7 linked regions of the Oryzias latipes genome follow. The protein of the gene in region 4 interacts with the protein of the main gene of each other region in a pairwise test. Links are inferred from orthologs where the notes say so. Each region holds a gene or a part of one and is shown on either strand. Other genes may lie near its edges. The genes, in order: tmem43, prpf31, inha, siah1, cathepsin K, numb and rad51ap1.

The links.
Region 1: the proteins of siah1 (region 4) and tmem43 interact in binary tests that used the Homo sapiens proteins (3 or more experiments, as listed by UniProt). The two-hybrid records come from large-scale screens. The link is inferred for Oryzias latipes from reciprocal best matches to the Homo sapiens genes SIAH1 and TMEM43.
Region 2: the proteins of siah1 (region 4) and prpf31 interact in binary tests that used the Homo sapiens proteins (3 or more experiments, as listed by UniProt). The two-hybrid records come from large-scale screens. The link is inferred for Oryzias latipes from reciprocal best matches to the Homo sapiens genes SIAH1 and PRPF31.
Region 3: the proteins of siah1 (region 4) and inha interact in binary tests that used the Homo sapiens proteins (3 or more experiments, as listed by UniProt). The two-hybrid records come from large-scale screens. The link is inferred for Oryzias latipes from reciprocal best matches to the Homo sapiens genes SIAH1 and INHA.
Region 5: the proteins of siah1 (region 4) and cathepsin K interact in a two-hybrid assay, tested with the Homo sapiens proteins (2 studies listed by BioGRID). The link is inferred for Oryzias latipes from reciprocal best matches to the Homo sapiens genes SIAH1 and CTSK.
Region 6: the proteins of siah1 (region 4) and numb interact in a two-hybrid assay, tested with the Homo sapiens proteins (2 studies listed by BioGRID and IntAct). The link is inferred for Oryzias latipes from reciprocal best matches to the Homo sapiens genes SIAH1 and NUMB.
Region 7: the proteins of siah1 (region 4) and rad51ap1 interact in binary tests that used the Homo sapiens proteins (3 or more experiments, as listed by UniProt). The two-hybrid records come from large-scale screens. The link is inferred for Oryzias latipes from reciprocal best matches to the Homo sapiens genes SIAH1 and RAD51AP1.

What each region holds. Positions count from the first base shown.
Region 1 is NC_019863.2:1,702,881-1,707,094, reverse strand, and holds the start of tmem43 (transmembrane protein 43), read left to right. Parts: upstream 1-1,414; 5' UTR 1,415-1,421; coding exon 1,422-1,547; intron 1,548-2,382; coding exon 2,383-2,529; intron 2,530-2,616; coding exon 2,617-2,751; intron 2,752-3,579; coding exon 3,580-3,674; intron 3,675-3,748; coding exon 3,749-3,798; intron 3,799-3,883; coding exon 3,884-3,953; intron 3,954-4,021; coding exon 4,022-4,092; intron 4,093-4,178; coding exon 4,179-4,214. UniProt on the Homo sapiens protein: May have an important role in maintaining nuclear envelope structure by organizing protein complexes at the inner nuclear membrane. Required for retaining emerin at the inner nuclear membrane.
Region 2 is NC_019874.2:19,364,284-19,368,353, forward strand, and holds the start of prpf31 (U4/U6 small nuclear ribonucleoprotein Prp31), read right to left. Parts: upstream 2,801-4,070; 5' UTR 2,628-2,800; intron 2,359-2,627; coding exon 2,146-2,358; intron 2,066-2,145; coding exon 2,005-2,065; intron 1,915-2,004; coding exon 1,831-1,914; intron 1,737-1,830; coding exon 1,639-1,736; intron 1,442-1,638; coding exon 1,335-1,441; intron 1,202-1,334; coding exon 1,032-1,201; intron 937-1,031; coding exon 779-936; intron 682-778; coding exon 592-681; intron 517-591; coding exon 389-516; intron 1-388. UniProt on the Homo sapiens protein: Involved in pre-mRNA splicing as component of the spliceosome. Required for the assembly of the U4/U5/U6 tri-snRNP complex, one of the building blocks of the spliceosome.
Region 3 is NC_019860.2:13,921,345-13,925,480, reverse strand, and holds the start of inha (inhibin alpha chain), read right to left. Parts: upstream 2,801-4,136; 5' UTR 2,658-2,800; coding exon 2,345-2,657; intron 1-2,344. UniProt on the Homo sapiens protein: Inhibins and activins inhibit and activate, respectively, the secretion of follitropin by the pituitary gland.
Region 4 is NC_019864.2:25,286,456-25,290,611, forward strand, and holds the start of siah1 (E3 ubiquitin-protein ligase SIAH1), read right to left. Parts: upstream 2,801-4,156; 5' UTR 1,878-2,800; coding exon 1,760-1,877; intron 251-1,759; coding exon 194-250; intron 1-193. UniProt on the Homo sapiens protein: E3 ubiquitin-protein ligase that mediates ubiquitination and subsequent proteasomal degradation of target proteins.
Region 5 is NC_019874.2:26,964,180-26,967,679, reverse strand, and holds part of cathepsin K, read right to left. Parts: intron 1,676-3,500; coding exon 1,553-1,675; intron 914-1,552; coding exon 761-913; intron 1-760. UniProt on the Homo sapiens protein: Thiol protease involved in osteoclastic bone resorption and may participate partially in the disorder of bone remodeling. Displays potent endoprotease activity against fibrinogen at acid pH. May play an important role in extracellular matrix degradation.
Region 6 is NC_019880.2:1,035,668-1,039,652, forward strand, and holds the start of numb (protein numb homolog), read left to right. Parts: upstream 1-1,185; 5' UTR 1,186-1,368; intron 1,369-1,753; exon of another isoform or gene 1,754-1,876; intron 1,877-3,985. UniProt on the Homo sapiens protein: Regulates clathrin-mediated receptor endocytosis. Plays a role in the process of neurogenesis.
Region 7 is NC_019881.2:17,661,300-17,665,594, reverse strand, and holds the start of rad51ap1 (RAD51-associated protein 1), read left to right. Parts: upstream 1-1,495; 5' UTR 1,496-1,808; coding exon 1,809-1,825; intron 1,826-1,932; coding exon 1,933-1,979; intron 1,980-2,400; coding exon 2,401-2,524; intron 2,525-3,266; coding exon 3,267-3,367; intron 3,368-3,456; coding exon 3,457-3,546; intron 3,547-3,662; coding exon 3,663-3,782; intron 3,783-3,863; coding exon 3,864-4,040; intron 4,041-4,108; coding exon 4,109-4,231; intron 4,232-4,295. UniProt on the Homo sapiens protein: Structure-specific DNA-binding protein involved in DNA repair by promoting RAD51-mediated homologous recombination.

The sequences.
Region 1 (4,214 bases), on a different chromosome or scaffold from region 4:
GAGCTGAAACATGCCATTTGGAGAAGACACCCGTCAAACCTGAGACAACTGGAGCAGTTTGCTCATGAGGAGTGGGCCAGAATACCTGTGGACAGGTGCAGAAGGCTCATTGACAAATACAGAAACTGTTTCATTGCAGTGATTGCCTCAAAAGGTTGTTCAACAAAATATTAAGTTATGGGTACCATCATCTATGTCCAGCCCTATTTCATTAGTTTTCTTTTTTTTAATAATTCTGTTAATCAACAACTCAAGTAATGGCTGATTTTGATTATTTGATTTTTAATACATTTTAATTTGTTACTTTTGAACGTTTCAAGTCATTTCAGTGAGCATTAGGGACTTTCTTTCTCTAACTGAGGGCTACCAACAATTTTGTCCACCACTGTATGTCCTTGATCATGAGAAAAATGCCACATGAACATGTTAAAAACACCAAAAACAGTTTTCACTGGCATGGCTCTTTAAATATTTAATTAAAAATGACAACATTTTATTAACTAAAGGAACTGGATCAAAACCACAAACCTAATCTTTATTCAAGGGTTAATAAAGCCCAGAGTGGCTCCAAAACCTCAGGTTGCAGAGTCCTGAGTTAAGGATTTGTCTTTAGTTAACGCTTTTCATTTCACATGTCCGTCTTCAGTGGTAGATGAATGAATGGACATTTAGTTTTCCATGATATATATTGACACTGTGACACCAAGTGTTGTTCATGACCTGCTTCCTCTGAAAAACAGGTTCTATAAAGGCACAAAGAGAGTACCATTTTGTTTGATGAAAAGCCCAAATCTTTAAAGCATGTAAACAATTTCTAAGCAGTCAAGTAACTTTCTGATCACACACCAGCAAGCAATCAGACCTTAGAAAAGACAAAGGAGGTGATGCTCCCTCCTTTCAACTTTAATAATACTAATAATAATACTAATAATAATAATACTAATAATAATATTTATCATAATTATGGAAGGACTGGTTTAGCTAAATATATTTATTTACAAAGCTCCACCTCTCCAGGTGAAACGAAGGAGAGGTTTCTAAAACAAAAGGTCAAGTTCACTGAAATCCGACCAGACAATCCCGCAACATTCGAGGGACAAAGTGAAATCCTAAATTTTGAGCCAACCTTGAACGCATCTTCACACAGGTGTTTTAAGCTTCTTATGAGCTGCTATAATAGGATGGAAACATTAACGACAGAAGAAACGTATTTATCAAATATCTTTTTAAGGCTTTTACATTTTACTGAAGTATTTTATGCTTTTAAAAAGCACAAGAAATCATGAGTTCGCTGTGCTGTCGTGCACTAAACGCCATTACCCATAACCCCTTGAGGGGTATGCTTGATATGTCGTCTTAATAGGTTTGCGAAGGCACGCCCAAACTTCCCACTGACAACCATCTTGCCCCCGCCCCCCCAAATGCATGTCGGGATACTCTGTAAGGTAAAGCTAACCTGCGCGTCCACAGTCTTTCAGTTTGCTAACATCAACTCAACTGTTGTTAAAAGAGTAAATCGAGCCGGAAAAATGTCTTCTGCACAGTTTGTAAGTGAATTTATTACATTTCTGGCGTGTTTTTTAAGCAAGTACCAATATTTAAACATGCTGTTCTGGACAGAAGAGTTTGTCTTTTGTGATTGAACCAGTTAGTCTGCTTTAATACTAGTTCTTCTTGCTGTAGTTATCACGGACATCACAGTTGATTAAGAATGAATGAACTGCGATTGGGGAGTATTATAGGAAGTTACCCCTAGCAAAAAGTAGTCTAGTCTATGTTTAAGTTAAACAGAGGCAGTATACTTGAAGGCTGCTTTTCAGATACTATAGTAAACTTAAAATGTTTCAATTTGGTCTTTAGATAGAAGTATTCAATTAGCATACTTCCTACACTGGTACACATACGTGGTCTAGTATATTTGCCAAGCCTATACTCAAGTAAAAGTAATAAATACACTTGTAATGTAGTACTTTTTGCTAAGGATAGACTTTTTGTAGTTCTTGTTTATTCATGTTGTAGATTATGCATTGGTACATTCCCTCATTTAGAATGTACGGTGGCTCAGAAGGGTCACAGCACAACACTTTCACAACACAAAATAACACTACAATTCGTCACAACACTAAAAAAAATTAACTCACAACACCAAATAATAACTCACAACACTTTAACTCACTGAATTAAAGTGTTGTGAATTGTTGTTTTGTGTTGTGAGTGATTTTTTTTTTTAATGTTGTGACAAATTATAGTGTGTTATTTGGGTGTGCGAAATCTAAAGTGTTGTGACCCTTCTGGGCCACTGTAAGAATGCATTTACACTTATTACTGTGAAATCAGTGTCTTCCTCCAGCATTTGTGTACATCCAGGTGTTGTTGTGTTAGCATCCAGGTAAAGTGCCAGATCAACACAGGCGGGTCACTGTCAAACACAACCCTGGATTCCTGGAGAAACTGGGCGACACTGCAGGAGGAACAGTCCTCGGTATTGGACTGTTTTTTCTCTCGATCTATGTTCTTTTCACCAACGAGGTAAGGAGCACGGCTCTGTCAGTCATCAGATGAAGCCGCCACGGGTCTGGATCGTCACCTGTCGGGTTTCTCCGTCTGTTTCTTCAGGGTCGGGCTCTGCAGACCGCATCCTCCCTGGATGAAGGTTTCTCTCAGGTGGTGTCTCTGGGGCCTCACCCCGACCTAGAACTGCAGAACAATCAGCGTTTAGTTCACCTGTCTGCAAAGCTCCACACCTTTCAGGTAGAACCCAATGAGCGCTGCTGCTGTGCAGAAGTTACCTTTGTTCTGGATCGTTGATGTTGATTTTGAAAATTCTTAATCCAGTGTCATTGACAAATGATGAAATATCTCTTTATTTCTATGCTTCTGTCCTAAACTACTGTAATAGCATTTGAATAATAACCTTTTTTTAATACAAAGGGGATTTAAGGTAAAAAAAGGTGGGACTTTAATGACAAAATTCAGAGTTTTTACCAATGACTATAGAAGAACTGGGCTGAGTGAGTGTGACATCAGCCAGAAAAAATGACTTTCTTCCTGCTCCAACAAAATGAAGTCAATTCTTTAGAACTACGGATGTGACCACGTTGGAGCCAGAGATGGTCAGTAAGCAGTGATTGGGCCAAGTCGGTCTCAGTCAACGCTTGTCAAGCTGTCCGCTCAGTGATGAGCTTGTTGGAAAGCCACTTCTATCACTGAAAGCGTGCTTAGGAGAATCTGTCAATCAAAATTTGTGAAGGTTCGACATGCGACATCCTGTTGTGCTCCACATACTTTCATCGAAGCATCTGATTGGCCAGTTTAGAACTTGCAGTAAAGAAAAAATATCATGAAAAAAATAAGTTCTCCCTGCTCTCAACAACAGGCGGGGGAAAGGGGGGCGGGGTTGCTCTGCGCCAACCGTCCTGCCTGCAACTGAGAGGCAAATTTCTGATAAACTCCTGCCGCTATGCAGAAACTGTCCTGAAGAATGAAAGTTTTTTTTTTTGATTGTCTGTAAAAACGGCACAATCATAATGAAAAGAGCGCTGGGACTTACAGTGTTAATGTGCATCTCTGTGTGTGCAGGCTCTTCATGACCCCAACTACAAGGTGGTGGTGCAGGCGGTGAAGCTGAAGAGGGAGGTGGAGATGTATCAGTGGGTGGAGTACAGGGAGAGCAGGTCAGTGTTGCAGGACCAAGTTCAAGAATGTAGGGATCTGCCAACATGTCAGAGTTTTTCAAATGAACTTTCAGAGACTATCAGGAGAACGGAGAATCCAAAACAGAGACCACTTACACCTACAGTGAGTGGCTCCCCCCTTATTTCTCCTCTTTGGCTGCGATTGGCTTTGGCCCCGGAAAGATGTGCTTCTCTTTGTTTTGCTCCAGACACTGAGTGGAAGTCGGAGCTGATCAACAGCAGGAATTTTGATCAAGAAATAGGTCACCAAAACCCCAGGTATGCCATGATGAAGACCAGACCTCCACGTGTGTGTGATGTAACTTGACATGTCCCTTTCATGGAAGTGCCATGGCGGTTGAGAGTGTGACAGTGGTGGCTCCTGCAGTCCAGGCTGGACCTTTCACTTTGTCTAAAGGTTGTTGTTGTTTTTGAGCCAACAATCCAACCTGTGGTGCAGACGCTGCACTCAGATGTAATTCTTTCTCCATGGCTCAACCTCAGGTTTGGTGGACCAAATCAACAAGTTCCAGACTCTGA
Region 2 (4,070 bases), on a different chromosome or scaffold from region 4:
TCTTTCACTAAAACATTACATCTGTGATAAATTCAACATTTGTCACAATTATGCAGATTAATTGATTGTACTGCAGTTTAAGATATTACAAAATACTTCAAAGTAAACTAATTGGACAAAAATGAACTGAGTAGGGCTGTCCAAATAATTGTATTTCTCCATTTAGTTAGTTCTTTGTTAGACAAAAGTATTTCTATATCAAAGATGTTTAAAACAACAATTACATTGCAGCATATTTTTAAAAGAACTCTGGCAAAAGAGCAGTTTTTGAGAATTATAAAATTCCTTAAATAGTTTTGAAGCCATTGACTATATTTATAATACAAACAGAGGTTTTGATGAATTTACAGGCAATTCTATCAAATACTAATAACCATAAGTGACTGACCTCCTTCCTCCTCTCTTCTTTCTCTGTCCGTCCAGCGGGGCTGGCAGTGGTTTGACCTGCTTCACTGGTGGAGGTTCCTGCCATTTATCAAACTTTCTCTCTATTTCTTCTTTTAGGTCATAGCCAACCTGCATTACAAAGGGAGTTGAATAACAGAGACAGAAATTATATTTCTGAATGTTCCTTTAATTTGAGATGTTTACCTTTCCATCTGGACTCTCGTGGAAACTGTCTACTCGAGAAGCCAGAGTGCATTTCGCGGCCACCAGACGAGCTGCCTTCCTCCTAAGGTCCTGAGGGGGGAGAACAAAAGGGGAAAGGAGATAACTAAGGCAAACAAACATTAGATGTGGAAAAGGTACTTGTTATTCTTGAATATGGTGTACTGACAGGAGGCAATGACTGCACAACATCACAGTGGTAGATGTAGCCCGTGTGAGGAAGCAGCGATGTGCTACTGAAGCCTGACAGAGTTTTCCTTTGGGCTCCCAGCAGCATCAAGTTGCAGGCTGGCATCTTTGAGAGGTTTGTTAGGCCTCCAGCAATGCCTTCAGCCAAACAGGGAAAAAAATTCAAAAGTAAGAAAAAAAAATGTATGGGCATAAAAAAACTTGATATTTTCTAGATAGTTTCACTTCCTCACCCATGATCTTTGCTGCAGTCGATGCTCCCACAATGATTGACAGGTTTGGAGCTATAAAGGACATTCTGGACTCTACATATTCATATATCCTGTGTTTTGACTGGTTGAGCTCCAGAGCCATGTCACAAGCCTCCTCAAGCTGCTTCAGCTCATCTTCCGTTAGCAATGACCTTAAGAGGAAAACAATAAAATATATAAAGGGAGTGTCTATGTAAATAAAATAAACAACAGACATAATAATGGAAATGTTAAAAAAAAAAGTTTATTGTAATAGGACACAAGTACCAACATTCTTAAACTTACCCCTGTGTAGTTGATGCAGTGACACTGACGACCATAATGGTGGCATTGGTTAGAATTTGCTGCAGGGTTTCATTGTTTTTACATTTCTCCAGGTTGTTTCCCAATTCCTTTATACGAAGCACACATTTACAACAAAAAAAGGGGGAAGATTTAGAGGTTAGATGCAAAAAGAAAAAAACAAACCTATGCAGAATAATGGAAACCATTCAGCAAATCTTTTCTTTTAATAGAAGAAAAACAAAATCAAAAATTTGATATCCGGTAACTTCAACGTCTCCAAACTTATCTTTTAAGATCAACAAACCTTGACTGTGCGAATGTAATCTAAAGAATCTGGAACCAAAGACTCAAGCTCTGGAAATCTCTTGGAGTATTTGTCCCTTGTAAACTTGTGAATGATGTCTGAAAAGACAGGAGAAACACAGACCTCACACTTTCAGTTGAAAGAATCCAATTTCTTCATTAGGTTTTGTCGCACAATAAAAGTCCAACTCACTAAGCTCATTGTCAATTTCAACTGTAAGATTGTTGGCTGCAACAATCAGCCTGTATTCTGGGTCAGCCTCAACTGGTCCTGAAACTGAAAGAAAATACAGGTAAACAGGAGAAAAAGAAATGGAAGTAAATCAGTAACATTTTCTGTTAAAATGCACATTTTTTCAACACTCACCATCTGAATTCTTGCGCTGTTTTCCAATATATCCAGATATTTTTTCAATTATATCTGAAAACTGAAAACAAGCAGTTAAAAGGGACTGCCTTCAGGTAGTGAAAAAAAGGAACTCTTTATGAGAGTCAGCTAAACAAAGACCTGTTTGCTATTGCGGAGCTTGGCGATAGACGTAATGCTGTCAGTTTTACTGTAGTCCACCTCCATCTCTTCGGGGATATCTTCCAGTCTTTCTGTCCTCCCTGAAGCCCCCTCTCCATCACTCCCTCCTTCCTCCCCCTCTGGGTACAGCCCATCTTCCCCCTCATCTCCAGCTTCCTCCAGGTCAGCCAGAAGCTCGTCAGCCAATGACATCTGCAATCAGAGTAAAATTCATGATCCATCTTCTAACAATGCATCTTTCAGCTTAAACGAGAGTAAAAGTGTGGGCAGTTGTTAAATTTGTGTTTATTGCAATTATTTTCAAAAGGAAGTAGATCTAACGAAAGTCTATCAGTGTTATTTTTTATAAACATCCCGTTGAAAAAAACAAAAACTGATATCAGTCTGCTATTCTGTGTTAGCTAGCTAAAGTTAGCAAACGTTCACCAAACGTCATTCAACACTGAAAAATAGTAACTTACGTCGCACTTTCAAAATGAAGTAAAACAAAACAAAAATATATTTATATTTTTTTAAAAGTCACTTTAGACAGGAAGGGTTCTAATAGAAGCCAATATAGGTAATGCTACTTGTGCGGCTTCTTGCTCCTGTTTACAACATAAAGCTCACGATCCGGGTGGTTTGTCGCAGAATAAATACGTCACGATTTCCGCATGGGATTATGGGTAAGTATCCCCTTTCCTTAAGAGATGAGAAAATAACATACGGGCTTCTTTCTAAAAATGAATGTTCGGTCTTTATGAGTTTACTTGGTTGCTTTAATTACCTTCTCTTAAAAAATGTGTAGTAGGTCGCAACTAAATACATATTTATTCGAATAAGGAGTTACATTTCAGGCCACAAAATAAAAACACAGGTTTTTTTCTAGTATTCCGAAAATGACTTTACTATAACTCTTCTTTTATTTGTAGTTCTTAAAATATTGTTTTAAAAATATTTTTCTATTCTTAATTTATTTTATATTATTTATTAGACCCTTAAAAGCTACCTGTACATAATAGGAAGAGAAGTTAAAAAAACAACAACAAATAACTAAATAAATGACTAGTAAGTTTCTGTGACAAACTGTTAAAAAAAACGTATTCAAAAGTGATGGGACAAAGTAAGAACTTAAAAACTTTACATTTTATATTTAAATTGCGTTTTAAAATATTTACACACAAAATATAATACATACATGGCAGCAAAGTACCAGTCTTGCATTCAGGAAACTAGAGTTTGGTTAACTTTTTTTTTTTTTTTTTTTTACAACAATTTTAATAAATTATGATACTTCACCATAGCACACAAAAACTTTATAGAAATAAGACAATTACCTTTACAATCAAAATTTCATTCACAAAACAATGGGCCACAAATTCTTTATCAATGGACGTTTATGCTTTGACCAATTGTGGTTTCCCACTTTATTAGACTTATATTTATTAACTGTTCTATTTTATACATTTTATTCTGTAACTGACTTCTGCTTTCAGTAGAACATATTTAAATATTACTTCTAATTGACACAATATAGGGACTCAGAAAGGACCCTGCCCTTGCAACAAATTGGTGAGGTATTTGAACGAATGAACAATGACTGGGACATGACCCGTATTGGATAAGAGGCTCACATTTTGTAGTTTTTATTGTACATCCTCCCCTTTGAAACCCAGTTTTTAAACAATACAATTTTAAACCAACATTTAAACAGACTAAACAAATGGACTAGTTGGACCTCAGCTGCATGATTGATGGCTATTAGTAGAAAATGAAATAAATTAACAAATACACAAGCAAATGGTCTTATTTACTGATGAGCAACTGTTCTGTCATGCTAAGCTACATAAACGGTCATTAAACAAGATAAAGAATGACAAGACTGCTAATAATATAAACATGAAAATAAGGAAACATTACAAGAC
Region 3 (4,136 bases), on a different chromosome or scaffold from region 4:
TGATGCTCGTCAGTGAGGCGGCCACTGCGTGTGAGAAGAATAGGGAAAGCCACTGTAAGTGGCTAAAATGCGTGGAGGGGGAGGGGCCTAGAGATAATCGAGCGCGCGTAAACATCTGTGGGAAGGAAACGGAGACAAATATCATCACAACCTGATATGTGCGTCTGAGCTATGAGCAAGCGAACTATTGATTTGTTCTTCCGACCTGCGGCTAGTGTACCAGTGTACCTATTTGCGGTCTCCAAGATGATATTTAGCGGCCCCCGCCTTAATATGAAAGTTTAATGTTACTGCTGCCCGCCAGTTTTAATGAATGACACTTTTTTATTGCCGTGCGCATAGCTGACCTACCAATCACAGTGGGGTATTTGGCTCTTGGGGGCGTGACAATGACAGGGCTTGAAAGCAGGAAACCTGACAGCCCCCTCCCTCCCCAGACCACATGAAGGAGTTCCCTACTTTCCTTTAGAACGTATTAATTCGCTCGTAATTTTCTACATACACGCAGTCCTTGCTGAACTTTTCTCTGGGTCACACAGACCCGGAGGAAGGTTTGGGTTTTGTTCACGGTTACGGCGGCGCATCAAACGGTTTATGCACGGCTGTTACGGCAGCACGCCGCTCCCGCGGGAGTTGGGTCAGCTGAGGAGAATAAATGTCCCACACCTACATGCGTGACAGCTAATGGGGCTTGAACTTTAAACACGCTCGAGCAAAAACATTAGTTTTAGACACACTGAAAATACGTGGGGAAAATGCAACGATAGACGTGTTTGAGATGAACCGGCAGCTCGCCTGGATCGTTGGGGAGACCAGGCGGGGGGGCTGTGAGATGAAGGCGAATCTGCAGCAAGACTGAGGGACAGCAGGAAGTTGGAGTTGTCCTTAACATTCAATTTAGTTTTAAAATTCTTCTCCCCCTTAGTATGATCTGTGTTATTATATATTTTATGATAATTTTAATGTTGTGTAATGTATGTAGCCTTTTTTTTAATGAATTGGTATTTTAAATTATTTTAATTAATCACTCAACTACAAAAACCATCAGGACACATGTCCCATAATGCATTGTTTTGTAGTCTGTAGGGCAGCTTTCAATCACTTCAGTTTCCAGCTGTGTCCGGGTAGGTTTGCCCCTTGCTCTCACCCCTTTCTCGCGATATTTTTGTGATGATTGACAGTTGATGTTGGAGCAAAAACAAAAATATATGTCACACACCAGGTGATCTGCGCAGCGTTGAGTTCACCTGGGTGATCTCAAACACGCTTATTGTGCATCTTGGCTGCACCTATTTGGTGTCACCAAGATAAATTTCCATCTGTTTTCTTTACTATTTGTACTGTCATGACAGCGATGGTGCTGTCAGTCTGTTGTTGCATCTTCAAAAGTCCAGAATAAAATGTGACACTGCATTTGAAACAGCACATTGTAATTTCTGCATCTATTATTAAAGTATTTATTAGTAATACAGTGGAAATTAGTAGATTTGGTTAGCATGTTGATTTACGGTATGCGCCCCTAAATTTGCTGGTTGTGCCCCTAAAATTTTCAGTTAGGGGCCACAGTGCTCCTAGTGAAAAAAGTTAGTCTGGAGCCCTGATAGGTCCTCTCATGTTGACTTTTTCCCTAAGAACCAGCTCTGACAATTTTTTAAACTAGTTTAAAGGCGTTCCAAGAAGTCCTTTAAATCCAGAAACCCCTGTTGTTTTCTAGCCTAGGACATAGTTTCTGCAGAGCGGCAGTAGTTTGACTTGTGGACGGGAGTGTTTCCACGGAGAAACCCCGGCCCCCCTTCCCTTCAATGTTGCTGAGAGCTCTCTGTTTACTCACTCTCAAGCAGGGAGCTTGTGGCCCAAAGTATTTTCTATCACAGATACACTTTTTTTTTAAACTGCATTTTTCTCCTGTTTCACAACAATTTGAAAACAAAAAAATAAAAAACTTGCAAAGCAAATTTTAAGTATAATTGTTCTAATATACTGTAAGTCCGAAAAATGCCACAAGAACATGTTAAAAACACCCAAACCATGATTTTGTTTCTTTGAAATGGGTGTTTCATCTCTGGTTGTATTCTTGCCTGACCTCTAGTGGCCAAGTAAGGCTTAGCAGGTAAAACTTTTGAAAATCATAAAAAAAATATATTTTCATTATTTTTCCTAATTTAACATTTGTTACTGAGTCAGCTGTGGAACAGGAGGAATCTGCTTCATTTTTTTTCTACATAATTTACATTTTTTACCAAATCACTACTTTTTATTTTTTTATTTTAGGATTTTTTTAAGTGTTTCTTTTTATGAAAATGCTCAAATCTAATTTATAAAGATGATAACTGATGATTCTCACCTGAAATTGGCAGCAAAATCATTTCAGATGTCTCCTCCTCTGGAACTGGCTGATTCTGATCCAACAGTCCTCGCTTCGACCCAGGACCCCTCGTGATCATGTGCCAGGTCTCCCAGTTTGCCCCACTGTTTGCCCCGCTTCCACGAAGGCCTCGCGGTTTTGTCTGGGGGGGTTTCTCCAGCCCCAGACTCTCCAGAACCCGTTCCCTGAAGCAGGACACCACCACCTCTTTAGGTAACTCCTCTCCGCTGCAGGCTTGAACCACACCGTGGATCCAAAGAGGACCCAGAATGACGACGACACACAACACCATGACTGTGAACCAGTTTATCCTAAATTTAAGAATGGAAAAAAAGACCCTCCTGTGCGACGAGATTCTACTCTCGTATATGTTTAGACTGAGCAGCAGCTATCTGGGTTTGTGTGTAGCCTGTGAGCAAAAGCATTTTGTTATAGGTTCAGAATACAGATAACAAAGACTGGCCTTGACTGATGGGATGTAGCATTTCCAGCTTTGTGGCAATTTTTTTTCCTCCCATTTTGTTAGAAATGCTTTTGCTCACCTAAGGTAACTAAAAGTAATGTTTGCTGCAGTTTTTTGGGGGGTCATATTTTGTCTCATTGTAGTGCAACTCTTTTGGACAAATGAGGTTTTTGACCAAATTTTAATTTTGTCTATATCCTATTTGCAGTGACGTCTGGTGAGGTTGATGGCTGGTGAGGCACTGACTCCTCTGGAGACAGATTTAGTATTTCAAGAAATGAATATTTCACCATTCATCCAACAGCAGGTAACAGCAGATAAGATACACACAAAAAACATATTTGTCCTACAGAGAATATTTATTTTATAGACATGGATAGAACACTCTTCTTGTGTTCTTCTCAGTAACACGGGGGACAGCAATGAGGTTTCCCCTCATAAACGACGTTATTACAAAGCAGACTTTCAGCCTGGTTGTGTCATTTGTGGATGTAACTGTGTGTGACAGGGTTCCTGTGGGCTCCTTCAAAGTCTCCAGAGGATGCTGTCCCCTTCAAGCACAGACAAAATAGCTTGACATCAAGAATGTTCATGTTTGCATCAAAATAAAAAGAATCCAAACAAGATTCACTTGATTCATAAAACTGTGGCTGCAACAGAAAAAGCTGATTCTCAGGTCAATCACTGTTTTTTTCAATTATAATGTTAAAAAAAAAGTATTGTACATGCTCATGACTGTGGCAGAAACAACAGAATTCACTCTGTCCTTACACTGTAAACCCATCACAAACACAATATTCATGCATTCATCTTGTAGTTCACTAAAGTTCTGGCACTTCATTTTGAAAGGTTTGACTCAAAGACGGATTCTTGCCAAATGTGTCAAAACATTTAATATTGGTGGCTCACAAACAATTAAGAATGGGTTCATAAATTCATACAAACTCTACTTCAATAAAATATTAAAGGAGTTGCCACGTTTACACTCACGCAAGAGGCAACAAGACAAGGAAAATATGACTTCCTGAGGATGTTTAACCTAAAAAGTCACATTTCAATCCAGCCAGGCAGGTGGCGCCTGCGGCTCATACAATGCCGTTCGTGGCTTTAATGTTTATTTATTTTTTTTAGGTTTACATGGGTGAAGAATTTAGAAATTGTGGGGGTAAACCAGACCTCACTGAGAAAAAACAACCTTTTGTTTATTTTAAAGATTTTTACTCTTCTATATACAGTATATATTTATATATATATATGTATGTATATATATATATATATATATATATATATATATATATATATATATAT
Region 4 (4,156 bases):
ACGGCGTGGGCCGGGCCCTGCAGCGGGACGGCTGATCAGCCCGACAGAAAGGTCTGAGCCCACACACACAAAACTACAGCAGACATGGGAAAACCAACAAAGCTGCCATCGATCCTGTAAATGTAAAGCAAATCCCCAACAGATCCACTCAGACACAGACAGACAGACAGATTGACAGACAAGACAGACTGACCTTCGTCCATAAGATTTCCAAATAAGGCTTCTGTCTGCTCCTGAAATGTTTGGACCTCTGAAAGAGAAAACAAAGGAAGTGCACATGAGAACCCGACAGGCTGGTTCTGAACGTTCTGCTTTGTTCTCCAGTCAGACACAGAAGTGGGCTCGGATTGTTGTGATGTTCCGGCAGACGTGAGGGCCGGATGGCGCCGAGGCGGTGTTTGATGGGCAGGACACAGAGCGTGCTCACTTTAGATTTCTGCTGTGTGGACGCTTTGCTGCAGAGCCACTCATTCATATTTCAGTAAGTCTGGTCCATTTCTGGACTAAAGGTTGACGAGTGAAACCCGTTTGTCTTCAGCTGAACAAAATCTACACAAAGCAAATTATTCCTGGACACGATTGCATCACATTTGATTTGAGGTTTCTGTTAAAACGACGTACAATGTCTCCTTCTGTGTGGAAACAGAACTCGCAAACACAGGAAGCTGCTTTTTGAAACTAAAAATTCATCTCCACATAAACCGTCTCGTCTACAAACATAGGCAGAAAACAGGGCTACGGTGTGGGAACAGGTAGACGGATAAGACCATCGATGGTTCGGGGCGTGAAGGTGAACACCAACGATGAAGGAAACCATAAACCATAAACATCTTCCTGTCTTTGTTCTGCCAATGGTTTGGTTGCAAACAGACCAAAAAGTCTGTTTCACCAACAGCTTCTGCCTCCATGAACCTCATGGAGGCTCAACAATCTTTAAACGCATCGCAAAAGAAAACCATTTCCCTTTTAGAAGCTGAAGAAATATAATCTAGAAATAGTTTCATTAATTAAGAGATTGGATATTTTTCTCAAAAGATTGGAAATTATTATTATTTTTAATTGATGTTATTTAAGAAACCAAGCAGAAACCTAAATACAATGTTGAGTAAATACAAATTGTACATTTTTTTGTATATATTGAATCCTTCAACTATGTGATGAATCTTTTGACAGAAAACAAGAACATCTTTTGTGCATCACAGAGCGAGAGGCGGAGCCTCAGAGATGGAGTCGTCCTACTTCCTGATTGGAAAAGAACTCAGGAAAATAACTAATATTTAATTTTAAAAGAAATGTTCTTTTGTGTCCCAAAATATATCATCATATACATGGATATATATATTTTTTACTATAAAAGGCTTAAGAAGAGCCTGGTATAGGCCCTTAAAGGACCAAAACATAAACACACAAAATGAATATTTAAAAAGCAAATTAGTTTTAATAAATGTTCAAAAGTGCTATTTGTGAAGAAAACATTCCCGTCGTTCCCTTTTCTCTTCTATGATAAGAAATTAAATATCCTGAATGACAAAACTAAACAGAGGAACATCAGGACAGGTGAAGGGGGATTCAACACAAACGTTAATCCACGTTAAAACAGTGCAACATAATGTACGCAGGGAAACGGTTAAAAGCATCTTCTGTGCTCGCCCACGTCACGCACAGCATCGGTGTGCCAACACGGCCCCCTGCACACAAAGTGCCAATTCAAGCCACCTTGGGCAGAAACATGGAGCTGGTGAGGATCGACGCGCTTCACCTTTAGTGTTGTGCACATTCCTGGTTGCTACGCATGAGAGCAGCCTGAACAGGGAGTTCCAGGGTGGAGCTTGTGGAGCTACACTTGTCTGCTTGGATTTCACTTGGACCACAGACATAGAGGTAAAGCATGTATGCAGCCCCTCTGTGCCACGCTGCTCAGGCCTTTTCCATGGAAACCACACACTGCTGCTGGAGCTCTACGCATTCCTCCAAATACTGGATCATATTTCCCCTCCTGCCACCCCCGCCCCCGCCCCCACCCCTCTCCCCTTGGAAAGTACAAGCTTCTGAGCGGCTGGAGTTCTGCAGCAGATCCAGAACGAGGGTTGTGTCCAAACAAACACCAGCAGATCCTTAACAGCGGGAAAACGTCAGAGTCCAGGGTGTTTGAGCGACTCCACTGCAGAAGCAACAGAAGGAGCCCGGACAGCAGCCAGGCAGGCTAAAGGGTTAATCAACTCGCCAGTCTGCACAGGAAACGGGAGGCAGTTTAGGAGAGTCATTAGAGCTTCACCAACACTGGGTAATTATCCAGTTTCTCCACTCAGGAACTATTTGACATTCCACGGGGCGGTTGGTTAGCAGGTATAGAAAGAGGAGTCAAAAAAAAGTGCAAGTTTGCAAAAGAAAAATCCTCAAAACAAGAGAGCCCCAGCTCAGAAACCTAACCTTGGCTCCCCGAGAGGAAATGAAAGAAGAAGAAAAAAATCCAGTGTGAAGTCTCCCCCTTCACTTTCTTCTCGGTTTGGATTTCAGTGATGTTCTTTGTCCTGGGGAGCGTGGTCGGTGTCAGCGCCACTGGCTGTGTTTGTCTGAAACACAGAGCTAAAGTCCGCATCCAGCGCGAGTCTTTATCTTTGTCTCTGCAGGCTCAGCCCTCACATGTCTCAGCTCAGCTCCAGCTGCATCTCCCTGCTGCTCCTGCAGCCTCGTGTCCTCTGAAAGCCTGCAGTTTGCCTTCTTTCTCCAGGCTGGACATTCTTCCTCCCTCTGCCCCCTCCCTCCGCCTCACTGTGGTTGTGCAAGTCTCAGATTTCAGCTGGTATAGCTGTAAGCTGCAGCACCAGCTGACCCCTCTGACTTCATACCTCCTTTCTCCTTTAGTGCAGCCCGTTTCTCCTCTGTCCACGTTTTAAATGTGAGCCAGAGAACACAGGGCTGCGTTCTCTGGCTCACATTTGCTCTTCAGCATAACTTACTTACACACTCTACAGCAGCGTCTCACCTTCTCAAAGTGCTCTTCCTGTTTTTGAGAAGCACTCTAGGTATGTGAAAAGCTCGCTCAGCGTTTACCGTTCGGAGCATCGATGCTGAAGATGCAGCACATCCCAGAGTCAACATCTGCTCACGAGAGGACAAAGAGGAGAAGCTTTTCTTTGTGCTTCATTTCCACATGGACCAAATCTGTGGAATTCCTTGCCCACCGTATGCTAAGCCGGAAGGATTTTTTCGCCCCCTCAGACTCAGTTATTTTCACAAATCTGATAAGAGATCAAACACGTCTGCAGCTGCATCAAAGACGGAGCGTGTCTGCTTTCAAAATCTCTGTCTGGATGTTCAGGCAGCAGTTTTTGGGAGGTCTGCAGTCAAACCTGCCAGTGGCTAGCAGACAGTGTTGTGAGAAAACAATTCTCCTGCTACATCTTAACATCTTGGCTTCAGTGCACATTAAAGTTTCCTTTATGCCAACGCAGAAACCCTGAATTCTGATTTTAAGTAATACTTTTAACAAGACTGCATTAGCTTAATCTAAAAAAGCTTTTTGAACGTGCCAACTCTTTTTACAAATTCAGCTCTTAAGCTAATATACAAAAAAAAAGAAGCACAAAAGGGACTAAATGTCATCGACACAGCAAGTTTTCATAAAGTTCCAGCAGGACCGGAGAACTCTGTAGAACATCAGCTGTTCCCTCGACCAGACCACTCATAGGAACAACCTGACTCCTTAGGTTGGGGGTCTCTTCTGGGCAAAGGGTCACTTGGTACCCAGACACAGAAAGAAAAAACAAATTTCCATTTTAGTCATTAGTGATTTTGAAAGCCATTTCATTTGGGAAAAACTACCAGATTCTCTCCGTGACACTTTATGCATGTAAAGTCGCTCGGTCACATGTCTTCCTACATGTGTGACCTTCCTAAAGAAGCCACTCAGGCGGTAAAACCAAAATAACCCCAAGATGACAAAAGAAACTCAAACCGAATTATTTGGACAATTTCTGCACAGTATAAGAATCAGAGAGATGACTTCAAAAATCAACAAGAAAGCTGCATTTAACAGATAATATCAGGAGTCTTAATTAAAATATGGATTTATTGGGACAGGTTGCTCTCACGCAGTGAGCCCTGTCTTATGTTACAAAGACACTGCTGATAAAATTGGACACAGCAGATTCCC
Region 5 (3,500 bases), on a different chromosome or scaffold from region 4:
GCGATGTTTCTGATGTAAAAATCTGTTACGTATTCACATTTTTAAAAACAACTTTCATTTGTCTTAATAGAGCTGAAAATCTATTTGTTTTGTTTATTTTCTAAGTTAGCCTGTTTACAGCTTTGGGTAACTTTAAGCTTCTTGGTTGAATAAGTAGTTGCAGATCGATCTAGAATTATTAGAGAACTCTGTCTGTCATAGAAAGAAACATGAGAAAGTTAACATTGTATAAGATGAAATTTAAAATAGAAGAAACTTCTTGACGGGAGTTTAAAGTTGTACATTTATGAGGATCAAAAAGTTTCCCCTTTTATGGTCCACCTTTTATTTAACTATCCTTTAAAATAGAACTTTCAGGGTTGTCTGCTCACATTGGATCATAATAATCATTAGGTTAGATTTAGACTTTGAGCCAAACATAGTAAAAAACAACAACATTTGTTATTGTCAATTTGCTTTGACAGTTGTGTCATTTTTAAGCTTTGGTTCAAGCAGTTACGGGCAGCTTCTGTATGAAAACTGATTTATTTTCTTGATCAAATAAAGAAATACATTTAGTCTCTTTAAGCTTCCAAACATCTTGTTACTACTTTCAATTTCCCGGACACAAACTGACAGACACAACAGCATCTTGTTTTAACAAGAAGCATTTTCCCAACCAGAATCTGCATCCAAACTCTGGTGGTTTCTGTGCTAGCGTTAAAAACAAAACAAAAAACAGAGCAGACAGAAACAAGGACGTCTGGGTTTGTGCTCAGACCTGGTTCTTCACAGAAGTCACCATGCCCTTCTTGCGGTAGTCGACAGATTTGGGAAGTTTGATTAGGCTGCCATCCGTTTCCATGGGAACTCTGGGCTCAGGGTTCAACGGCATCTGCAGACCGGTCATCCTCTCCACCACCTCTTCCTGGGTCTGTGAGCAGAGGGGCAAGTTACACTCGTAACCATGATGCCTTTAAAATTTATGGCAAAGCAGTTGGTTTGAAAAAAATAAGTAAAGATCAAACAAAACATTTCGAAAATTAGGTAAAAGTTTTACTTTTTTGCTATGTGAAAAACAATAAAATGTGAAAAAAAGGTAAATGCAACAAACAGAAAATTCATTTTTCTGCGAGGGTCTGAAATAGAAAACCAACAAGGAACAACATTCTAATGACTTCCTTTAAAAAAAAATGTTTTCGTCATTTAAATTTAGAACCTGTTTCCAGAAAGATGAATCCACCCTTTAACCAGAAAGTGGATGTACATTTACTCTCATTATGAAGCGCTGCATGTTTTGACTCGCTGCTTCATTTGCAGCATGTTTTGATCTTCATGTTAAAACAGCCAGCGCATGTGCAGCGGCGGATGATTTAAACAAGCTGAACATCAGAAATGCAACTCAGTGCACGTGTACAGGAACTGCTTTTCTGGGGCTTTTTTTTAAAGATTTGACCAAAAAACATTTCTTCAAGAAAGTAACCAGCCACACATGATTCCATTTGTTAGTTGGATAAAAATGAACCGAGGCTCAGTCAGCCACTTTATCTAAAGAGGAGATGAGGATTGTCACCATGTCTCCGAACTGGTTCATTCCCAGCGTGTAGGTGTGCATGCCCAGAGCCGCCTCCTGGTTGTGAGCTTCAATCATGCGCAGGTTCTTCTCCCAAATGGCCCTGCGGATCCCCTCTTCCTCCTGAGGCAAACAAAAGGTGTCAAATCTTCCCCTCTGAAACCAAACCGGAGCTTATCCTTCACTCTTTAAAAGATAATCTTATATTTCATTATTGATTTTTTGTTGCTGTAATAATTTAATAATTCATGTCCTGCTAATTAATAATGCAACCTTTTTTCCTGTAAACTGAAAACTCTCATTGCATATTTAAAGCTGCTCAACTGGATTTTGACAGATGTTGCCAACAGTTTTTCCTCCAATCTACATTTTCCAAATATACAAGTGTTTTTTGTACTGCCACATGCCTGCCTGCTACATTAATGTAAGTGATCACAGGACTTATAGGTCAGATCCACATATGGTTAAGCTCCCTCTTTTATGATTTTGACCCAAATAAACTTTGTTTAAGTTCCAAAAAAGTTATTTCATCGCGATAATTTGTTATTATTTAGTCAAAGATCTATAACATTACTTACATCCTGTGCATGAACATCTGTCAGGAATCATCTGAATAAACTTCATACATTATAATTAGAAAAAATAAAACTGTTATCAGTATAATAGCTAATTTAATTAATTAGGCCAATTTGAAGGAAGCAAAGCAATCTTTTCAGAAGGCTCATATCGAAATAAGAGTATAATTTCTCCTCCATTCACCAGACTTCTTCACTGATGTCTCACTCCCAAATTTAGATTCATGTCTCGCTTGAGAACAGGATGCACCCAAAGGGCTGGGTTGCTAACTCGGGGAAACTCAGGGCTCTGATTAGGCTCTTTTAACTAGGAGTATAACCCTAATTTCACTCATTATATTCCCAGCAATGGAAAATGCAAATGATGCAGGACGATTTTGGTTCTATTACTGTCATGGATCATTGAAAGGGGAAAATTATGAGAAGATGTTGTAGGAACGTTGGTTAAAACCTGAATAAAAAACAACAACAATGCCTGTCTGCGGGAATAGAAACAAAGATGCAAATGAAGCTACAAAGAGCTTAGTAAGTCTTAAAAAAAAGTAGCCACGTGCACGTCTGACACACAAAAACAGCTGCGGAGCGCTGACCTCTAGCTGGAGGTTAGTAGCAGAAAAATCTGGCGGATGCTTTAGCAAGCACTCCTGTGCGAAATCTGCAGTTTGCAAACCAAACTCCCTTCAGTTTGCTCAGAACTTAAAGAGAAGCATTTTTCACAGCAGACAGAACATTTTAGGATCAGGAAGACCCAAAAAGAGGACGTTTAAGGTCAGTTAGAGAGGAAAGGAGGCATCCTTTGATGGAAATTTCTGACACCTGCTTCATTAAACATCATCAAAACGAGTTAACATTCAAATCAGAGAAATAGGGCAGTTGCAAATTTCCCTCAGGGTTTCCACACAATGAAACGATGATTACAAAGAATTTTTAAGCAGAGCTTGCATGGAAATCGACTCCTCTGTGTTTCTGGTAAACAATGAGCCGTACTAAGGGTTATTTGTGTTTGTTCTGCTTTATTTTGTACCTTGGAGGAAATTGAACAGATGGAGAAAAATCTAAAGAAGTAGATCAACCAGTTCTGAACTCAGATTTTTGTTTGTTTGGTTGGTTGCTATAATTTCCTGTGTGCCTCTTTTATCCTGGAGTTACTGTTGTTCTAAAAAAGCTGTGAGCATTTGTTTTTTTTTTAATAACCTTCAGTTCAGCTCTGATTGATGTAATCAGAAAAAAGAACATTTCAAAAAGTCATTCCACAAACTCTTTCCCACTGATCTGGTCTGATCTTTTTCTTTAATTGAATCCATATTCTGCATCTGACACAAGAAACCTTCAATTCTGAGTATCTCAATACGCTCCCCTGGGCTGCCAGATAG
Region 6 (3,985 bases), on a different chromosome or scaffold from region 4:
CTGCGAATGCTCAGGAGCTTGTTGCTGATGTTGCTCATGTTGACCACAGGGGGGCAAAATACTTCAACATTTCACCAGGAATGCAGCCCCAGGACCTGCCAGGCCTGTTATGTGCATAAAAAGATAGAAGAGATGATTAAGAGGGTTGGCTTTCAAAGGCGTAGAGACAGTGTTAGAGGTCAGCAGTCAGAGACACAAGACAGAAGAGAAACCATCATCATAACCGGCTTTGCCGGCTGAAGCTCTGTGTGTTTGCCTTCTGATAGGAGAAAATATGCTGCTCTGCAGCTTTGTACCCATTGGAGCTATGTCAGGAATGCTGATAAACTTCTGGCCAGCTAAAGAGGCCAGTGTGTCGCTATGGGGGTAGAGGGGCGTAGGCCTGCGTGGGGCGGCTGAAGATGGTCAAATGATCAACATGATGATGGTTCAGACACGAGCTGTGCAGGAACTGTGGGAAGTTCTGCTCAAAGAAATAAATCATCGAATCAGTCAGACGCTGAAATAACGGCAGAGTGGAACATGTGTCAAATAGCTGTGCTTTCATAGTTTATGCAAAGCAAATGATTACCTTTATTTGGTCAGAGAGGGTGAAACAGGATGACACATTGTGCATTTTCCCGTTCATTGATCAAACTGGCAGAATCAAGAGTGGTGCCTTTATAGTGTTTTGTTAAACCTGAAAACCCATAAATGTTTATTTTTAATGGTTATATTTTGCATTGTTTTCACAAAAAATAGACATGATAATCAATCAGAGACAAACGAGAAAAGTAATTAATTTATAGAAGAAAATAAATACAAAAGAAACAAAAAATTTGCTAATTAAAATGAGAAAAACATTAAATCGTCTTTAGCTTTTTATGTTTTCTTTAATTTAATTAGATAAAATAAATGAATTTAAATGTTTTAACGTTCTTTTGTACTTTTTACATTTTTTATTTTGATTTTGCTAAACAGCTTACTAAAAAGTATTAATTTATTGCACAGATTAAAATTGTTCCTTCCTTTTTTAAATTAAAAGTTAAAATGTTTTAAAAATAATTTATTTACTCTAAAATCATCCTTATCTTTTTTTTGTCTTTGTGCTAAATTTCTTATTTGTCGGCAACCCCTCAGAATTTGGCCCAGTGGCCATCGATCACCGTGGACCCGCACGCGCCGGCCTATGAGCGCGCGCGGAGGCGGTCCGTTGCCAAGGGCGAGGTTTGGTTGAATCCTCGCGCTGCAGCCATTCAGCGGCGGCGGTTGGCCCGGAGGGTCTCGGTGACGGTTATTGTGGAATTTGAATTATCCGGAACGGGACGGCTCGACGGTCACAGTCGGGGCTTTAACGGGGCCACGTCTGGATCACGGAGGTGATCACAGGTGAGCGGGAAAGAAGGGTTAGCAAAAGGGGCTAAAGTAGCACTAGCCCGGCTGATGCAGTGGTGTTAGCCCGGTTCTGTGGCTCTTAGCTCGGTCTGTAATCTCTCTAATGACGCGGTGAGCGAGCAGGAGTGTTCAAACCGTCTCCGGTCTAATCTGTTACCGGGAAGAACCGAAGAAAACGGAGCCCTTTCGACGTTTTTCCTCGTCCTCTGATCACCTGGTTAACTTCCAGGTACCTGGTTTAACTTTCAGAGGTAAACGGGTGAGGTCAGAGCGCACGCGAACTGTCACGACACGTTGTTACACACGGCCCACTCGTGTAATATCACTGTCACAAGTGCGCACGCGGGTGTGGAAGTGCGAAGAAGTTCGGATGTTGGCTGTGTCACGGCTCACGTCGAAGCCTCCGCGAGCTCCGAGCTCGCGCTCTCCGAGAACGAGCCGTGACTCATCGTCCGAACGCGCAGCTTTTTTTTCCAGGTGTGATAATGGGGCCCGAGATGAGGTAATGGTATCTCCGTGAGACCGTCCGGCTGCCGGGAGTACCCCCCCCCCCCCCACTGCATCCACATCGGTACTCAGATTACTTTCCACAGGAAAAGAGGCGCGTGATTGACGGCGCGAGCCTCATGACGGACATTGGGAAGCGGGAGTCTGTCGTCGTCCCGCGAGGTCACAACTTTGTTTATGTGACGGGGGGGTCACGGTAAACAGTGATCGGGGGGGGGGGGGGGGTATGCGGAAACACTGCTGCTTTGTTTGGGATTTAAGGGGAAAGTTAAGGAGAATTGTTAACGTTACCGGGAAGAAGGTAAAGTCTAGAGTTTACAGTTCTAATATTTGACCGCATCATGCTGCTTATTTATGGCACAGTCTGTCACGTGCCGAAGTTCATGCTTTTATTATATGATCATTTATTAATTTACTTAGCATCTGGTGTTTAAATCTTGCTTTTCACGAAATAATAATTTTAATACACTTCATTTTCACACTTTTAAACTGCTAGAACAGCCATAAAGTTCCCTTATTTGTTTAGCAAAATTCAGAAATTTGCCTACTTATTTTTTTATTGCTTCTTGATTAGTAAGAAAATGTCAGTTTTATATGTTTCTCCATAAATAGGATTTTGTAAAATGCCATGAAGGATCTCATTCATCCAGCTGATGTCTTAAAGTTCAGCTGGGACGTTTGGTTCGGATGACTCAACTCTTTTTTCTTAAACTTTTTATTTGTTGTCTGACTTTAGATTAAATAAATTGATGAAAAATATCAAATAGAATTGTAACAAATCCGAATTTCCTCTAATGGAATACTTTGGACGGTAAATTGATTTTTGCAGGACAGGATCTCCTTAGAAATTCAAAAGTACTGTAGTTATTTGGATTTCCAAATGTAAAAGGCTTCGTTTGTAAAGGGTTTGTTTCTTCGGGTGCTTGGAGCTGCCCTATTTTAGGTGTATGTTTGGGTTTGAACTGGTCTTTAGAAGAAATGACAGATGCAGACAGAAAGTGCTGCTGTGTGTTGTAAAACAGAAGACATTTTATTGCAGATGATGATGATAACTGAGAGACCAAAATGATCCACATTTTCTAAGCTCACATCCTGCTGCTCATAATGAGCATGAAGGAAATTGAATGAGTTGTTGTTTTCTTTGTCTGATAAAATGACCCTACAACAACAGGAGGCACATCATTACTAAACATTTACAAGCATTAATGCCGAGTCGCTGGCCTGAGTGAATCTCATCAGAGTGAAATCTGCTGCATTTCAAAATGTCAAAGCTTTATTTAAAAACACAAGGTCACAGTGAGGAGGTCCTCTGAAGAGGCAGGTTCACATTCGGAATCAATTCAGCTCCAGTGTTTCTAATAGGCTGAAAAATGGGGGCGGGGCTTCTCTTTCCACAAGGTTGTTAAAGTAACCCATGGTCATCCCCAAGAATTAGGGGAGGGGCATTGGCAGTTTCTCACTGAAGCGCCCCCCCTGTGAATATGTCAGCAGCAGGAGGAGAAGCCCAGAAGGCCCAGTCCTCCTCTGTGGGGTGCGGTTTAGTGGGAGACATGATGTTCTCATGTAGGCACAGAGACAAATGGGATGAGGGATGGTGGGGCCAGAGGGATGGACTGTCCCCGTTTCTCCAGCATCCTCTGAGTTAGCGCCAGAGGTGGAGGTGAAGCTCTTTGATCTCTTCTCCACAACCTTTTCTCTACACATGCTTCAAGTTGCGGTTCATGGGTTCCAAAACCCCTTATCACCTTTGCATGGGGGGGTCATTTTTGTCCAATTTTTCTTGTGATGGAGGACATGTATAGAAGAAGTTAAGATTACAAGATTGGATTTCTGAATATTTCTTTATTCAAATCGTCATGGATCAGGAGCAGATAAAAACCTGCTGTTTTTTTTCAAACAGCAGGTTTTTATCTGCTGTTTGCAGCCTACCACAGCAGCAGCTGTGGTAGGCGGGGCCAAAGTCTCCCAGCTCCGCCCCCTTCTGATTCATCCACCTGCAGACAAATACATCCATGAACCTCTTTGGCTACGTTCACACCGCAGGCTGAAACGACCCAATTCTGATTTTTTTGCCCCTATGCGACCTGTATCTGATCTTTTCATG
Region 7 (4,295 bases), on a different chromosome or scaffold from region 4:
TGTAGGCAGAGCTGGAGGAGTTTAGGAATGTGCAACCACAGGACCTTTTGGCCCCACGGCTGCATGTCTTCCTTCCCTCTCTGGGCCTAAAAACATGGCCTTTCACAGCCCTGAGCATCTGCTCCAGGGCCACTGTGTGACAAACCACAGCGGACAACCACCCACTCACAAGCTGGAAAATGACAACCCTCGATACAGTGGCTGCTCTCTCGAAGAACCACAGTCAAATCTGGGGAGGTTTCGTTTTGACCTCTCTTCAGAACTGTGATTGCTTCTTCCCATGTGTGTGGGCGACTGGGCAGTTGAGGACGTGTCAATTTAGTGTCAATCAGACCCAGGAACTGGAACATCAGAAGTCCTGAATCATCTAGTTTATACTGCCACCTGTTGGATGGTTGGATTCTTTACCCCTTGACAAACAGCTGTCCGTTTAGCACCAACAACAGTCTTTTTTATTATATGTAATCAAAGCTACCCAGAAAATATTCTCATCTATATTAAAAAATAAGATACAATAAACTTTTTTTACATCCTGCTGTGAAGAAATTAAATTGTTACAACTCTGGGGATCAGGCATAAGGGAGCAAAGAAAGGAAAATTTAAAATGTGCAAAAATATTTAAGGAAATAAAAAATATAAAAGAATTATACACCTCAAATACAATTAAATACAATTATAGTATACAACACACATTTCAATTGTATGCAACCATTTTAAAAATCAATATAACAAATAAAAATATTTTTTTTCCTATTCAAATACTGCAAATATACATCATTTTATTGTGTTTACAGGAATTACATTCCATTTAATGTTAGTTCATTATGACACACTTGTTTAGTAATTATGCTCATGATTTTAAAGCCTTAATTTTGTCACCTAATGTCACTAATTCTGTAAAATCCTCCCCAAATTTTTTTAAGTTGACTTAAAAGAATAATGCAATTTTCTTTTTCAATTTTATTGAAGAGTATACAACAGGAGAACAAATACACAATGTGAAATACATTAACAAGATCAAACAGTGAGGGGCTTTATTTAAATAAATACATATAAAGATTCACAAATACTGATTGTTTTAAATTTGAAAACAATCAATATTTTTGAATATTTGTAACCATTCCTGTTAGAAGAGTGTGATATTGATTTTATGTATAAAAATATATCGTTAAGAAATTGAGAAAATATGGTGCTTTATGGTGAAATTACATCTATAAATTATTAATTTTTTATATATGTATTATCTGTACTGCTGGCATAAATTAAGAAAACTAATCTACTTTCATAAACAGTAGATACGATACATTTTTCACTCAAAATAAAAACAATGTTGTGCATTTTTTTCTTTCTTTAATTTATTTACAATGGGTTTACTAAAAAAATTTAAATAAAACATTTTTACTAGTGGTATTTTATTAAAAACAACTAAACTAAAACGTAAAAAAAATAAACTCGAATCAACTTCCGCTTTTTTCATCAACTTCCGCTACCGTCAAATTAATCAACACAGCGTGACGTCACTTCTGGTCAGTTCAGGCGGGCTGCTTAAAACCAGAAGTCGCTTATTTTATTGTCGCTATACAAAACTAGTATACATTAATGTATCAACGTATGAGGAAGTGAAGTAAAGTTTTTTCCTCAGTACGTTAGGTGTTAGGCTTTTGATTTAAATCAGCTTTGCTGCAAAATTACCGGCTAGCTTAAGCTTCATGTGATCGAAGGGTAAAATAGCGGCTAAATCGCCGTTAATGTCCTTATTGATCGTTGGATAAACTAAGGGTATAATTTGTCAAAAATCCTATAAAGGGATGGACCGGCCGTCGAGGTGAGCAAGAAACATTTTCATTAGTTTATCGTTTTTTAATTACTTGTCAAATGTGAATAGAAAAGACGCTCTTAAGTTATTTCTCTACGTTTGCTTATTTGTTACAGAAAGACAAAGGTTGTGAATTATAGTGAAGCCAAGGATTTTGAGGATGGTGAGTTATTTGTGTTTTGTTCATCCAACTTTTATTTTCAAATTTTTTGTCTAATATCATATGTTCAATGATTCACAACAACAATTGTGTTGCTACTCTACGTCTTTCTCTTAATTTAAGTTTTAAGACTTAACTTCAAACTTAGCTTCTCTTCTGTGTGAAAACACCTTCCATGTTTGGTTTAGTTAGTCCAAACATTATAAAAACTAAAGATACATGTCTGCATTCGCTGATAACTATACTATAGTTATTCAAAAGATTCTGTATTTGGAAGAACTAGAGAACGATAGACATAAAGGACCCAGACGCTTAAAGCCTACTCCTTTATACCGATTCAACTTTAATTACCCAAAGTTGCATTTAGTTTTACAGCGTTTACCAGGTAACCCCTTTTGATTAGCCTGTTTCTTTGTTGTGTCAGATGAAGATTTTGCCTCCGTGAAGGCTCCACCTCACAAAAAAGCCAAGGAAGAAGTGAAACAACAACAGAGAAAGTCTTCAAGTCAGGAAGTTGTCTCTGAGTCGTCACAGAAAGAAAAGATCAGGTACACCGTTGGACATTTAGATGTTTTGGGGGATTTTATTGTCACTTATGGATCTTTGGATTATTGTGAGCCTCTCAAGTTATCTCCACCTCTTGAGTAAACATTAGTCCTAAAGACCCACTCAGATGAAAAAGGACTTTTTGGTGTTTTTTACATGTTCTTGTGGCATTTTTCTGATGATGGAGGACAAATATGAAGAAAAGTAAGCTTAAAATTTCATTTCTAAGTATTTCTTTATCTAAATTGTTGTGAATCAGGAGAAAATGATAAAATGCAGTTGTGTAAATATTTCATTTGTTGTGTAAAAAAATACGCTGGGAATTTTGGGATGAAAGTTATGGTATATCTGTGTATTACAATCTGTTTTTCAACTATGTCTGCAGCACAATGGCAAAATAAATAGCCCTCAGTGTTTTATTGTCTTGGATGTCTTTCAAGTCTACGATAAAGTCATGTTGACAATAATTTATTTTAATAAAAGATGACAATTGTATCACTTTTACCCATACAGGTCACATAGCTGAATATTCATCTATTAGTACTTTTTTTTTTTGCTTAATTTCCATATAGTTTAAACAACAAAAAAATGTGTTTTTTTGCTGCCCTTTTCTGACTTTGAGCCCCTGGCCCTCTATGATCCCGTACCTATCCCTGAGCAGCAACAAAATGGTTTGGCACCTGAGAAGTTAAAAATTATTTTAACTAATTTAGTTTTTAACCAATTAACACTTAATATTCTCAGAAAACCACTGGATGAAAAACTTTATGACAGAGACCTTGAGGCAGCCATCACACTGTCCTTGCTCAACAACACAGATGGGCTGAAGGAGTCATCTCCTAAAGGTTTGTTTTGTCTTGAAAAATGCTGAGTTGATTTGTTTTTCTCTGAGAGTGGTAACAAATTCTTTCTGGAAAAAAAAAAATTTCTCCAGCAGATGGAAAGATTCAAATCCCCATGGATGAAAATACGGATCCGACTACTTTGCGCTTTTCTAACTGCAGTGTGGATGGAGCAGTTTTGGGTAAGTATTGTTCTCCCCTCCCAAATCCCCGATCAATATGTTTTTCTTCGTCTAATCGACATTTTCTTTCAGTTTACTCATTTTTTTGTGTTTTTATTGTCGTTTGTGGGTCCCAGGCTTAGACGCAATCTCGTCAGAGATCAGATCATCCGCCTCAAAGAAGACTTCTTCTAAAACAGCTGAAGTGAAAAAATGCAAAGATGACGATGACGACTATCAACCCAAACTTACACCCGGTTAGCACTTTTTTCTTCCAAAGCTCCATAAAAAACTGTTCTCTTGGTTTTCATAAGTGTAACAGCTCTTTGCTTTTCCAGATCCAGAAAGTGATGAAGATTTCAGTGAGCCATCTGAGAGTGAGGATGAAGAATTTACAGTCAAGAAACCCACAAAGACCCAAAAGAAGGACAAAGTCTCCCCAAAAGACAGAATCAAACCAGCTCCCACTTCTAAAAAAGTCAAACAACCGTCAAAGACGAAGCCTGAAGCAGCAGGTTTGTTTCAACGGCTGACGTTTTCCATCCTCTTGATTTTTGTTACTAAGCCTTTTAAAACATTTTAGCTGCTTCCAAACCGGTGAAAAGTCCTCCAACGTCCAAACCGACACCCACCAGACCTCCTTCCACAAAGCCTGCATCCTCTCTGAGCCCAGCAGCGGGGAAAGTACCCAAGTGGAACCCACCAGGTACAGCTTATCAATGCACTTACTCTTTCTGTTATTTAAACTGCTGTAATCAGATTGAAGGCTA